Linked DNA regions of Yarrowia lipolytica. The protein of the gene in region 2 purifies or fractionates together with the protein of the main gene of each other region. This does not show direct contact. Links are inferred from orthologs where the notes say so. Each region holds a gene or a part of one and is shown on either strand. Other genes may lie near its edges.

Region 1 (4,864 bases), about 1.8 Mb from region 2:
CTCTACAGTAGTATCACTGCACCTTTCACTATTACACCTTTGAACACACTCCTCACTGATTGTCAGTCAAAGGAAAGACACAACTACAGTCACTGACTAGTCTTGCTGTCATCTCTAAAGCCTCTCGCTCCTCGCTGTTATGTCTCCCGCCCACTGCTACGGCTCATCCAGTCAATGACTGACCTGCCCCGCCCCCCGCCAAATTACTAACATAGTCTCCCATGATCCCCTCCTCCGAGAAGGCGAAAAGGCCTTTGAAAAACTAACCCACAAAAAGAGCTTCCTGTCCATATTCCTGGAGGAGCTCAAGAACGAGGCCAAGTTTGGCAAGAAGAAGTAGCCGTGTATATATTATATTATTATTGAACCTGACAATTCCACACGCGACTGGAATGAATCAAGGATACACCGATTCACAAACAAGACTCGAGCATTCCCATCTTTTGGTTCAGAATTGCAAATGCTGTAGTATCATTAGGTATCTATTAACTATATAAACCAACTTTTCCAGTTGTATTTTTTTTCTTTCTTTTTGCTTGTGTTTTTTCGTTTTTCAAATGCACAGCTATCTCTCCGGTCCATCAACTCGCTCCTAATGTCCACCTAGTACAACTCGTTAACAATGCTACTTCGTCCCAGAGTGCCCCGTCGCATGCCAGGAGTCGCCAGAGACTCCCGCGTGGGCTTACGGAACGACTTCTTGGACACCATGTTGACATCGTCCTCGGTGGCAACAATGACGTTCTTGTCAGTGCCGAATCGGAAGTCTCCAGCAGTAACCTGGTCAGAGTACCGCTTGATGAGGTAGGGGTTGGCGTCTCCTCGCAGCAGCTTCTTAAGCGACCAAGTAACCACGTATGGGCCAGAAGACGTCACAACCGTCTGCTCTCGAGAATTGGGGCCCTGGTTGAAATGCGCCTTGGTGAAGTTCAAGCCAGAACCAGTCTCGGCAAGCATGAAGGCCACATGCTCGGGGGAAATCTGGAGACGCTTGGGACGGGGTTTGGCGTCCTTGGCAAACGACCGCTTGAATCCGGTCTCGCCCTCGTATTTGCCATCCTTGATTGTAGCGTCGATCAGAAGAATATAAGTCTTGCAGGTGGCCAGAATCCATCGGCCGTCAGCAGACACATCGACGCCCAGAATGGGATCTCCAAGGGCGGGGAGAGCGGTCTTGGCATTGATTCCAAGTCGGTCAAACAGTCGGATTTCTCCCTTCTGCGAGGCCACAGCAATGTGGCCACCCTCGGTGGAAGTCAGAGCCGAAAACTGGTTGTTGGTGGCATACTTCTTGTGCTCACTATCAACCAGCTTGGATCCACTGAGACGGGGATCGATTCGGAACAGACCCGAGTTGGCCATTCCCAGGAAGGTCTGCTCGCCAGTCATCTGCGCAAACTTGGCCGAGGGAGCAAAGCTGACAACGCCGTTCTTGGAGTCATCACTCACCTTCCACTCGTCCACCACCTTACCGTACTCAAGATCCATCTTGTACAGGTTGTTGCCCTCAGACTTGTCCTGCAGCACAATGTGCTTGTCCTGGTAATGCAGCATCATCTTGTCGGGGTTGAACGACGTCTTGTCGGGCTTGGAAATGTTCTCAATAGTGGTGGCAAACTCGAGCTCGTTGTCGGCAGTATTTTTGAACACTCCAATTCGGTTTCCTCGTACAACATACGACCGGTCGTTGGAAGTTCCGACGGCAAGCAGCTTGTTCTTGTCGAGATCGTCGTTCTTTCCAAACACCTCGTCGTTGTCGTACTCCTCGTCATCAGAGAAGTCTCGTGCGGGGCCCTGGGGGCAGTCCTCAAACTCATCTTCATCCTCGTCCTCCTCAGGAAGATCCTCCAGACCGGTGGTGCCTTCGTCGTCAATATCCATAGCTCCAAAGGCTTCGGAAAGGTAGTCCTTTTCTGTCTCGGGAGCGGTTGTGTACTTTTGACGATGCAGTCTCTGCCACAGAGCCTGCATGAACACCTGCTGGAAGATCTCGAGCTCCTCGAACGAGCCAAACTTGAGCAGCCACGAGAAACCCGCTCCGGTAGGTGCAAAGTAGTTGAAGATGAACGACAGATGCTCGTAGTTGAAGCAGGGGTTCATCTCCGAGGTGATGGGCATGCCCAGTACGGGTTTGGTTCCGTTCGTCACAGTCAGCCAATACTCCCACTGCTTGGCCACCTCCTCAATTCGCACGGTGGTGGAGGCTGCCTGCAGTTCAAACGCACCGGTCCCGGCATCAAACAGATGCAGCTCAGCATTGTTCTCTCCCAGGAGAGCGTCGAACTGGGGCAAGTCCTGCACAACAGGAGCGGAGGCAGGCGCAGCCACCGCGGCAGCCACAGTCTCGGGAGCAGCTGTAGGCACGCTAGCGTGGGCCTTGTTCTCCTTCTTCCCCTCCTCTTCCTCCTTAACGAAGATGCCTTCCGTGTCGTGTGCCACGCGTTTGTCCACCTCGTTAAAGTCAGCAGCCACGGACTCGTCCACGGCGGTAGACTCATTGGCCTCGACCTCTGTTACCGGAGGAGGGTAGTCAAACTCGTTGAGATCGTCTTCGCTGACTCCCTTTGCACTTGCAGTGTACTTTCGCTCGTACATGCACTCCTGGGCCACCTTGGAGAACTTGTCATACACCTCGGGTTTGATGCTGGTGTCGCAGATGAATTCGAACCGGTCTCCGGGGTCGCCATTGAGATCGTTCCATGTCACAACCACATGGCCGTCCTGCATGAAGTAGCTGATTCGAAGGGCCTCGTCAATCAGATAGCACCATTCTTCGTCGTCAAGCTGGTCCTCTTCTTCGGTGCCCTCGAATGCCTCCTCGCCCTCCTCGTAGACTCTCTGGACAATGAGCTGGCTCTGGAACTCCACCTCGGTCTTTCGGATGATGGCGGCTGCCTCCTTGTAGATGCACTCGGAAACGCCCTTGACCGAGTGCGGCGACCGTTTGAGAAACAGCTGGCCTGACGGGATCACCGCAAGCTCCTGCTTGGACCCAGAGCCCAGAATGTTGCGCAGAAAATTCATGTTCGAATGAACTCGTAATGGAGTGGAGTGGCGTGAAGAGTGGAGGGATAACCTTCTGTTTGGGGCGCGGTAACCGTGGCAACGGGGCCCAACAGACGACCTAAACCTTAAATGAGGTCACGGGTCGATAACGATAGGGTTTTGGTGAGGTGAATAAAAAAATGGGGGAAAATGCTGGAAAAGCGTAAAATCTGGGAAAATTGCGGAAAATTGCGGAAAATTGCGGAAAATTGCGAAAATTTCTGGGAAATGGTAAAATCGATGGATGAACATGATGGCTTGAGTCTGCTTCGAATCACGTTTCTGTCTGCGTACAGTGGATATCGTACAGTGGATATCGTACAGTGCTGGAAATTATTTGATATAGGGGATCACTCGACTGTAAGACATTGTACATACAAGTCGAAATATTGTATGAGAGGGGTGAAAATAAAGACGGATTCAGATTATATAACGGACGATGAATGCTCTCCAGATCTCCATTTGCCCTCAACTTTTCTGTTCATTGGAAAAAGTGGTGTTCTTGTTGTGGTAGGTGGAGCAAAGAGCCTGTGAAGGGACGCCCGTAGTAATGGCTCCATATTGGACAATTTTACTGAGAATAGGGGTGTGAATAATTATATCAATGAATTCTAAATCTTGATCTGATTCAGATTGAGTATCAATTTCCCCGGATTTGCAGCACACTTGTGATTTCGTTGGTCCTGTTCTCTACGCTCTACCCCTATTGTATGTACACATCCTGCCATACTTGTAGTTGTACTTGTACTCGTCGTGCATCACCCGTTTCAACATGGTCCACAGCAATAAAAAAGAAGATGTACTATTCAAACATACACCGACCGTTCTTTGCAACTGGAGAAACAATTGCAGCATCCAGGATTCTCGTTTGGTCTCACGCTACAATACTAACTAGGCTCTCTCTGGTGCTTGACTATGGCTGATCACCGGGAGCCGTATTTTCACCAGGATATAGCCGCAACTGGGCTTAAAAGACGGGGGAGCGTTTAGGAGGGTCATAAAGTACTGTCAAGGTCTCCTTGGCGTATGTGAGTGGGTGGAACATTGTACCAGTATGTACTTTTACGCTGGTAGCGTGCAACACCTCAGATCTGCAGAGCCGGTACTGTACCTGTCTTGGTTATTTGACCGTGTGTTCGACCATTGATTGTTATTAACACTTACAGGTTCAACAACTGGCTATGGGTACTAGTACGAGTACAGTAGTAATAGTATTCATTCACTTATGAGTCCACTGAGAAACATGTGTGTAAGATCGCTCTTATTGAACACAGCACGCGTGTGGATTAATCGGGATCCTGTCGGGTCTTAATAGACGGACGAACTGCTCCTCAGTCAGCGTCAGTTTGATCATTGTAGTAGTGGTGCTGGTGGTGGTGCTGGTGGTGGTGCTGGTGGTGTTGGTTATGTCTACCTGTTGAGGGGGTCGAGGTGGTATTTATATTTGGATAAACGGTTGGAATTTGAATTGAAAGATGAGCATATGATCAGAAACGGGTTCATGAATGCATTGATTGACTCTCTGGCTACATTGACTCTTCTTCTTCTGATCTATGTGGTTTTCTTTCATCTTCCATTGACATGTCCTGATGTGGAAGATGTACTTGTACTGAACATGGCAAGTCCAAGAAGACTGGAATAGCACCGGTGAATGATGGACAGATGTTTCTACGGCTGTACGCCCACATCTCTCTATGCCTCTATGCTGTCTATGGGTCTCAGTATGTGTGCACATGGCACTCCGTCTCGACCGAGCAACCAGTTCGAGAGTATGTACTTTGGGGTGCGTTGAAACGTGTGGACGTGGGTAATCTGCTCC
Region 2 (4,420 bases):
CTCTGTGCCATCATGTTCTGCCTCTCTCTGACCAACGCAGATATCAATCTCGATACCGCCCAGCGAATCAAGGAGGAGTCCGAGCATGTCAAGGCCGACGAGTCCACCGACGATAACGGACTGGTCGTGGAGACAGACTCAATCGAGAAGCCGCCCTCCTACGACGAGAAGAAGCAAGTCGAGGAGATGGTCCAGAAGGCCTGAACAAAACCAACACTTAATGACTGACACTTAATGACTGTACTCCAGCGACTGTACAATACTTATCAACTATTTGTACCTCGAGAATGAGGAGTAATGATTGTAGAATCATTCGTACATCTGAACTGTGCCCACCAACAATTCAGTAAGTAGCCTTAACCCTTACTCAACTATTACTACACTACAATCAACTTATAATTAATGAATGTATTATGCAGAAAATAATAATATAGACGGTGGCTATCTCGTACTTGTACTGCACACGTTAGGCAGGGACTACTTCTTCAACTTCCCTCCTCTTGTCATGTCTATATTCAATTACATTCATTCGTATCCAACCCATACCGCTTATGGCCTCATTTTATGCTCTACACCTCCCCTTACTGCTGCTTCAACGAAGATCGACCAGCCTTGAGCAGCTCGTCGCACAGCAGCAGGTTGGTGGCAATACCAGTGGCACTGGCAATGCTGTTTCGGATCACCCGGAACGAGTCGTAGACACCCTCAACCGTGGGGTCCATGGGCTCGCCGGTGGTCAGATCCAAACCCACAAGATGGCCCTCGGCAATCTCGTCCTGGCACTCGGTAATCATGTCAAGAGCGTCGTAACCGGCGTTAGAAGCCAGAGTCTTGGGGATAATCAGCATGGCCTCGGCAAAGGCTGTGATTCCGTACTTGGCCTTACCCTTGGTGCTTCGCGCGAACTTGATGAGATGCTGGTGCAGAGCGAGCTGGAATGCGCCGGCACCAGGAACAACAGCCTGGTCGGTTCGGCAGTTGGCCACAGCTCGGAGACCGTCTCGCACCGCATCGGAGGTCTGGGCAATGCTGTGAGAGTTGGGGGCTCGGATCAGAATGGTCACCGACCGGGGGTCCTTGACCTCCTCAATGTAGGTGTACTTCTCCTCGCCAATGGTCTCCTCGTAGACCAGACCGGCCCATCCCAGAATATCGGGACGCAGATCCTCAACCGAGTTCTGGGCCTCTCCTCCACACACGAGCTGCAGACGCTCCATGTTTCGTCGCTTTGCTCGTCTCAGGGCAAAAATGCCGTTCTTGGCCAGAATGTCCAGAGACAGAGGATCAATACCCTTCTGGTTGACAATAACAAAGCCCTCGCCGTTGGCACACACTTCCCGCTTGAGTTCGACAATCTTCTTGACCTTGTCGTCCACAAACTGTCGCTCGGACTGTACCAGCTTCTCTCGCTCCTCAGCAGTGGAGTAGAAGAAGCCGGCGTTGACCTCGGACTTCTCGTACTCTAGAGACACGTTGAGAGTGAGCACAAACGCGTTCTCGACTCTCTTGGGCATGTCGGGGTGTCGGGGACCATGATCCAGAACCAGACCTCGGATCAGCCGAGTGTCGTCGGGTCGCTGCTGCTTCATGATCTCAACCATGTGCAGATCGTCTCCAACTGCCAGAACGGCATCGGTGACGACGGGAGCCAGACGCGCCACCAGAGTGGGGTTCACTTTGGTGGCGAGGGAAGATCGAGCGACCGCCAGAAGCAGCTCTCGGTCGACGCTGCCGGCCTTGTTGATCTTGAAGGTGTCGAGGAAGGAAAGGGCCTCCTTTCGAGCAATCTCAAAGCCCTCAGCAATGACTCGGGGATGCATCTCAGTGACGAACCGCTCGGCCTGTCGAAGCATCTCTCCAACGTAAAGGACAACCGATGTCGTACCGTCACCGGTAATGTCGTCCTGTGCAGTGGCGGCTCGGGCAATCAGTACGGCGGTGGGGTTCTGGATCTGCATCTCGGACAGAAGCACCTTTCCGTCCTTGGTGAGCTTGATTCCTCCTGCTCCATCAACAAGCCTGGGTTAGTATTGTATGACTCTCGTGATGTGCTTTTGGTGATATGACTTTGGTGATATGACTCTGGTGATAAGACTGTGACGTGTCTTGAAACAGTGATATGGCATATCTGTGTTCATTTGATAACTCCTGTCGTGGTACGTCCTCAATCAAGTCGTGACCACGTCAAAATGAATCCTGTGTCGTGGTTATAACATCCTGGCTTCCATCATGTTCCAATTACATAAACAGGTGCAATTGCAACACAATAATCAACAGCACCATCGTCGTGTACAACATAACACGGACAGATGCTCATCATTACCCTTAGGACGTCTTGAACTCCTTCTTGATGTTTGTCTAACACCAACTGATCGCCACCATACTCACATTTTGATGGTGCCCTTGGGACCCAGATTGCTGCAAAGAACGCTCTGAAGACCCTCTGCGGCGGCAATGTTGACCTGAAGCGCCTGCTGCCGTCGCAGGGACTCGGCCTTGGGGTTCAGTAGTTGCACAGACATGTTGTGTATGTGTGATTCGAAAAGTGTGGAAAACAGAAAAGCCCCGTGCAGATAGGATTTGGTGACGTCTTTAATTTTCACAGACGAGGTTCGCACACACTCTATCTGCACTCAGGCACTACTTTGGGGGACGCGTGTTCGATTACCGGTGGCGTAGAGAATAACGTAGAATCTTTTAGAAGACGAAATATATAAATAAACAAAAGGGTTGCTTGACTGATGGATATTTCCAGGGACGATATACATTCACTCGTTTTATGCCCATTAGACCCTCTATTCTCCGTTGTCCGGACAACGCCTCACTTAGTCAGGGTTAGTTGGACGCCTTAGCAACTCAGCAACACGTGTATTGAGAGCAGCTCACCGACTGTACGAGCACGAGTACGAGTACGAGAAATTGTACATAGAGATTAAACGAAACGGGCAGATAGTTTTAGTCACGTGATTGAAATATTGGCACCTCCCGTGTTTTTCATTTCAGTACCTGTGCACTCCTGTGTTCTCGTATTACATAATATTAACATATGCATGCTGAAAAAAATCCCACCTGGCGTAATTATGAGTCCACCGCTGCAGGAAAAAAAATTTCTGCAGTATATATAGCAGACCATGTCCTTGACCAGAACTTCACTGCCTGTGATGGTTTTTTTTTAATTAGACTCTGATCACACATGAGGTCAAAAAATGTCAAATTTGCTGAGGCAGTTCCCACACAATATTTAGTTGATATAATCAGGTTAGGAAGAGGACATGGATATCGCCAGTTCTGAGACCTAGAGGTTATGAGCCATAGCACGGCAATAGCACAATCTATTGCCAATTGGCAACGGACATCCATCTACACGTCGTTGGTGCTGATGGCAGGTGTCACGAGCTGATTTGACGGTTTCCGGACATCTTCGACGTGTTTAGAGCCAAGGCTGACAGTCATCGCTGACAGTCATCATCTACAGAACGACATCATGCCTTTTTGATCGCAGCAATACACAGGTTATGACCAGTGCCTAGCGCAGTATATACATACAACTCAAGCTCCAAGGTTCTCCTCTGATCTCTTTGGCCGACTTATACATGCTGGTAGGAACTCCTACATGCAGATACGCACACGTTGGTACGTCCATTGGTACATTAATAGTGACGAAAGAAGAGCTCTGAACCGATTAGTGAAACACGATGGCATCAGCTGTTTCCTCCAATAGACGGCCAGCTAATAATCTTACCACCCCACGTCTCCACCGATGATGTCTCATATTTAGCCTCGTCTTGATAGCTGCCATTTATTATTCAGACGAGTTCGGCTACGAAGACCAATTGATCATTATGCCGGGTACAAGTAGCTCCAATTTCACGTGACCAACGACATTAGAAATTCCGCTACCCATACCGGTACTGTACCTGTATCTATCCGTCTAACCGTTTGTAACCTGCTTACGCACGTGCGCATTCCTCGTTAGTTTCATTTGAAGGGGCTAGCGGCTATTATCTTCATTAGAGGCATAAATCGGTCCATTTTAGACGCCCTCTCCTGGCAGGTATCTCCGGTTCTATCAATTTGCCATTGCTCGGTCTTTGGCAATGCCTCCATATATTTCATTTCATGGTTACAATACACCTCAGACAGCATCGGATGTCTCACACCACCATGCAGCTGAGATGCATCAAATATGCACGGCGATGCACAAGTCGACGATACCAAGCGTAAGCGAGTGGATACTAAAGCTTGGGCTGAAAAATTTGTACTGCTAAAAAATGTACTGCTAAAAGTTTGTACTGCTAAAAAAAATATGTGCTGGACTAACACAGCTACGACTCCAATTTGATACAATATCAATAAATAAACTGCAGAACAATAAATAGAATGTGCAAGAGAGTTTGCACGGCGCTAGGAGCGCGGACGT

Evidence for each region.
Region 1: the proteins of YALI1_D25744g (region 2) and YALI1_D07271g purify together in Saccharomyces cerevisiae (affinity purification with mass spectrometry; 3 studies listed by BioGRID). This does not show direct contact. The link is inferred for Yarrowia lipolytica from reciprocal best matches to the Saccharomyces cerevisiae genes CCT6 and VID27.

The regions. Positions count from the first base shown.
Region 1 is NC_090773.1:725,299-730,162, reverse strand, and holds YALI1_D07271g (uncharacterized protein), read right to left. Parts: upstream 3,025-4,864; coding exon 604-3,024; downstream 1-603. Other genes in the region: YALI1_D07299g (uncharacterized protein), read left to right, coding at 216-340; YALI1_D07257g (uncharacterized protein), read left to right, coding at 4,271-4,345, 4,391-4,687; YALI1_D07252g (uncharacterized protein), read left to right, coding at 4,740-4,852. UniProt on the Saccharomyces cerevisiae protein: Has a role in the negative regulation of gluconeogenesis. Required for vacuolar catabolite degradation of fructose-1,6-bisphosphatase (FBPase).
Region 2 is NC_090773.1:2,572,500-2,576,919, reverse strand, and holds YALI1_D25744g (uncharacterized protein), read right to left. Parts: upstream 2,523-4,420; coding exon 2,389-2,522; intron 2,020-2,388; coding exon 582-2,019; downstream 1-581. Other genes in the region: YALI1_D25786g (uncharacterized protein), read left to right, coding at 1-204. UniProt on the Saccharomyces cerevisiae protein: Molecular chaperone; assists the folding of proteins upon ATP hydrolysis. Known to play a role, in vitro, in the folding of actin and tubulin. In yeast may play a role in mitotic spindle formation.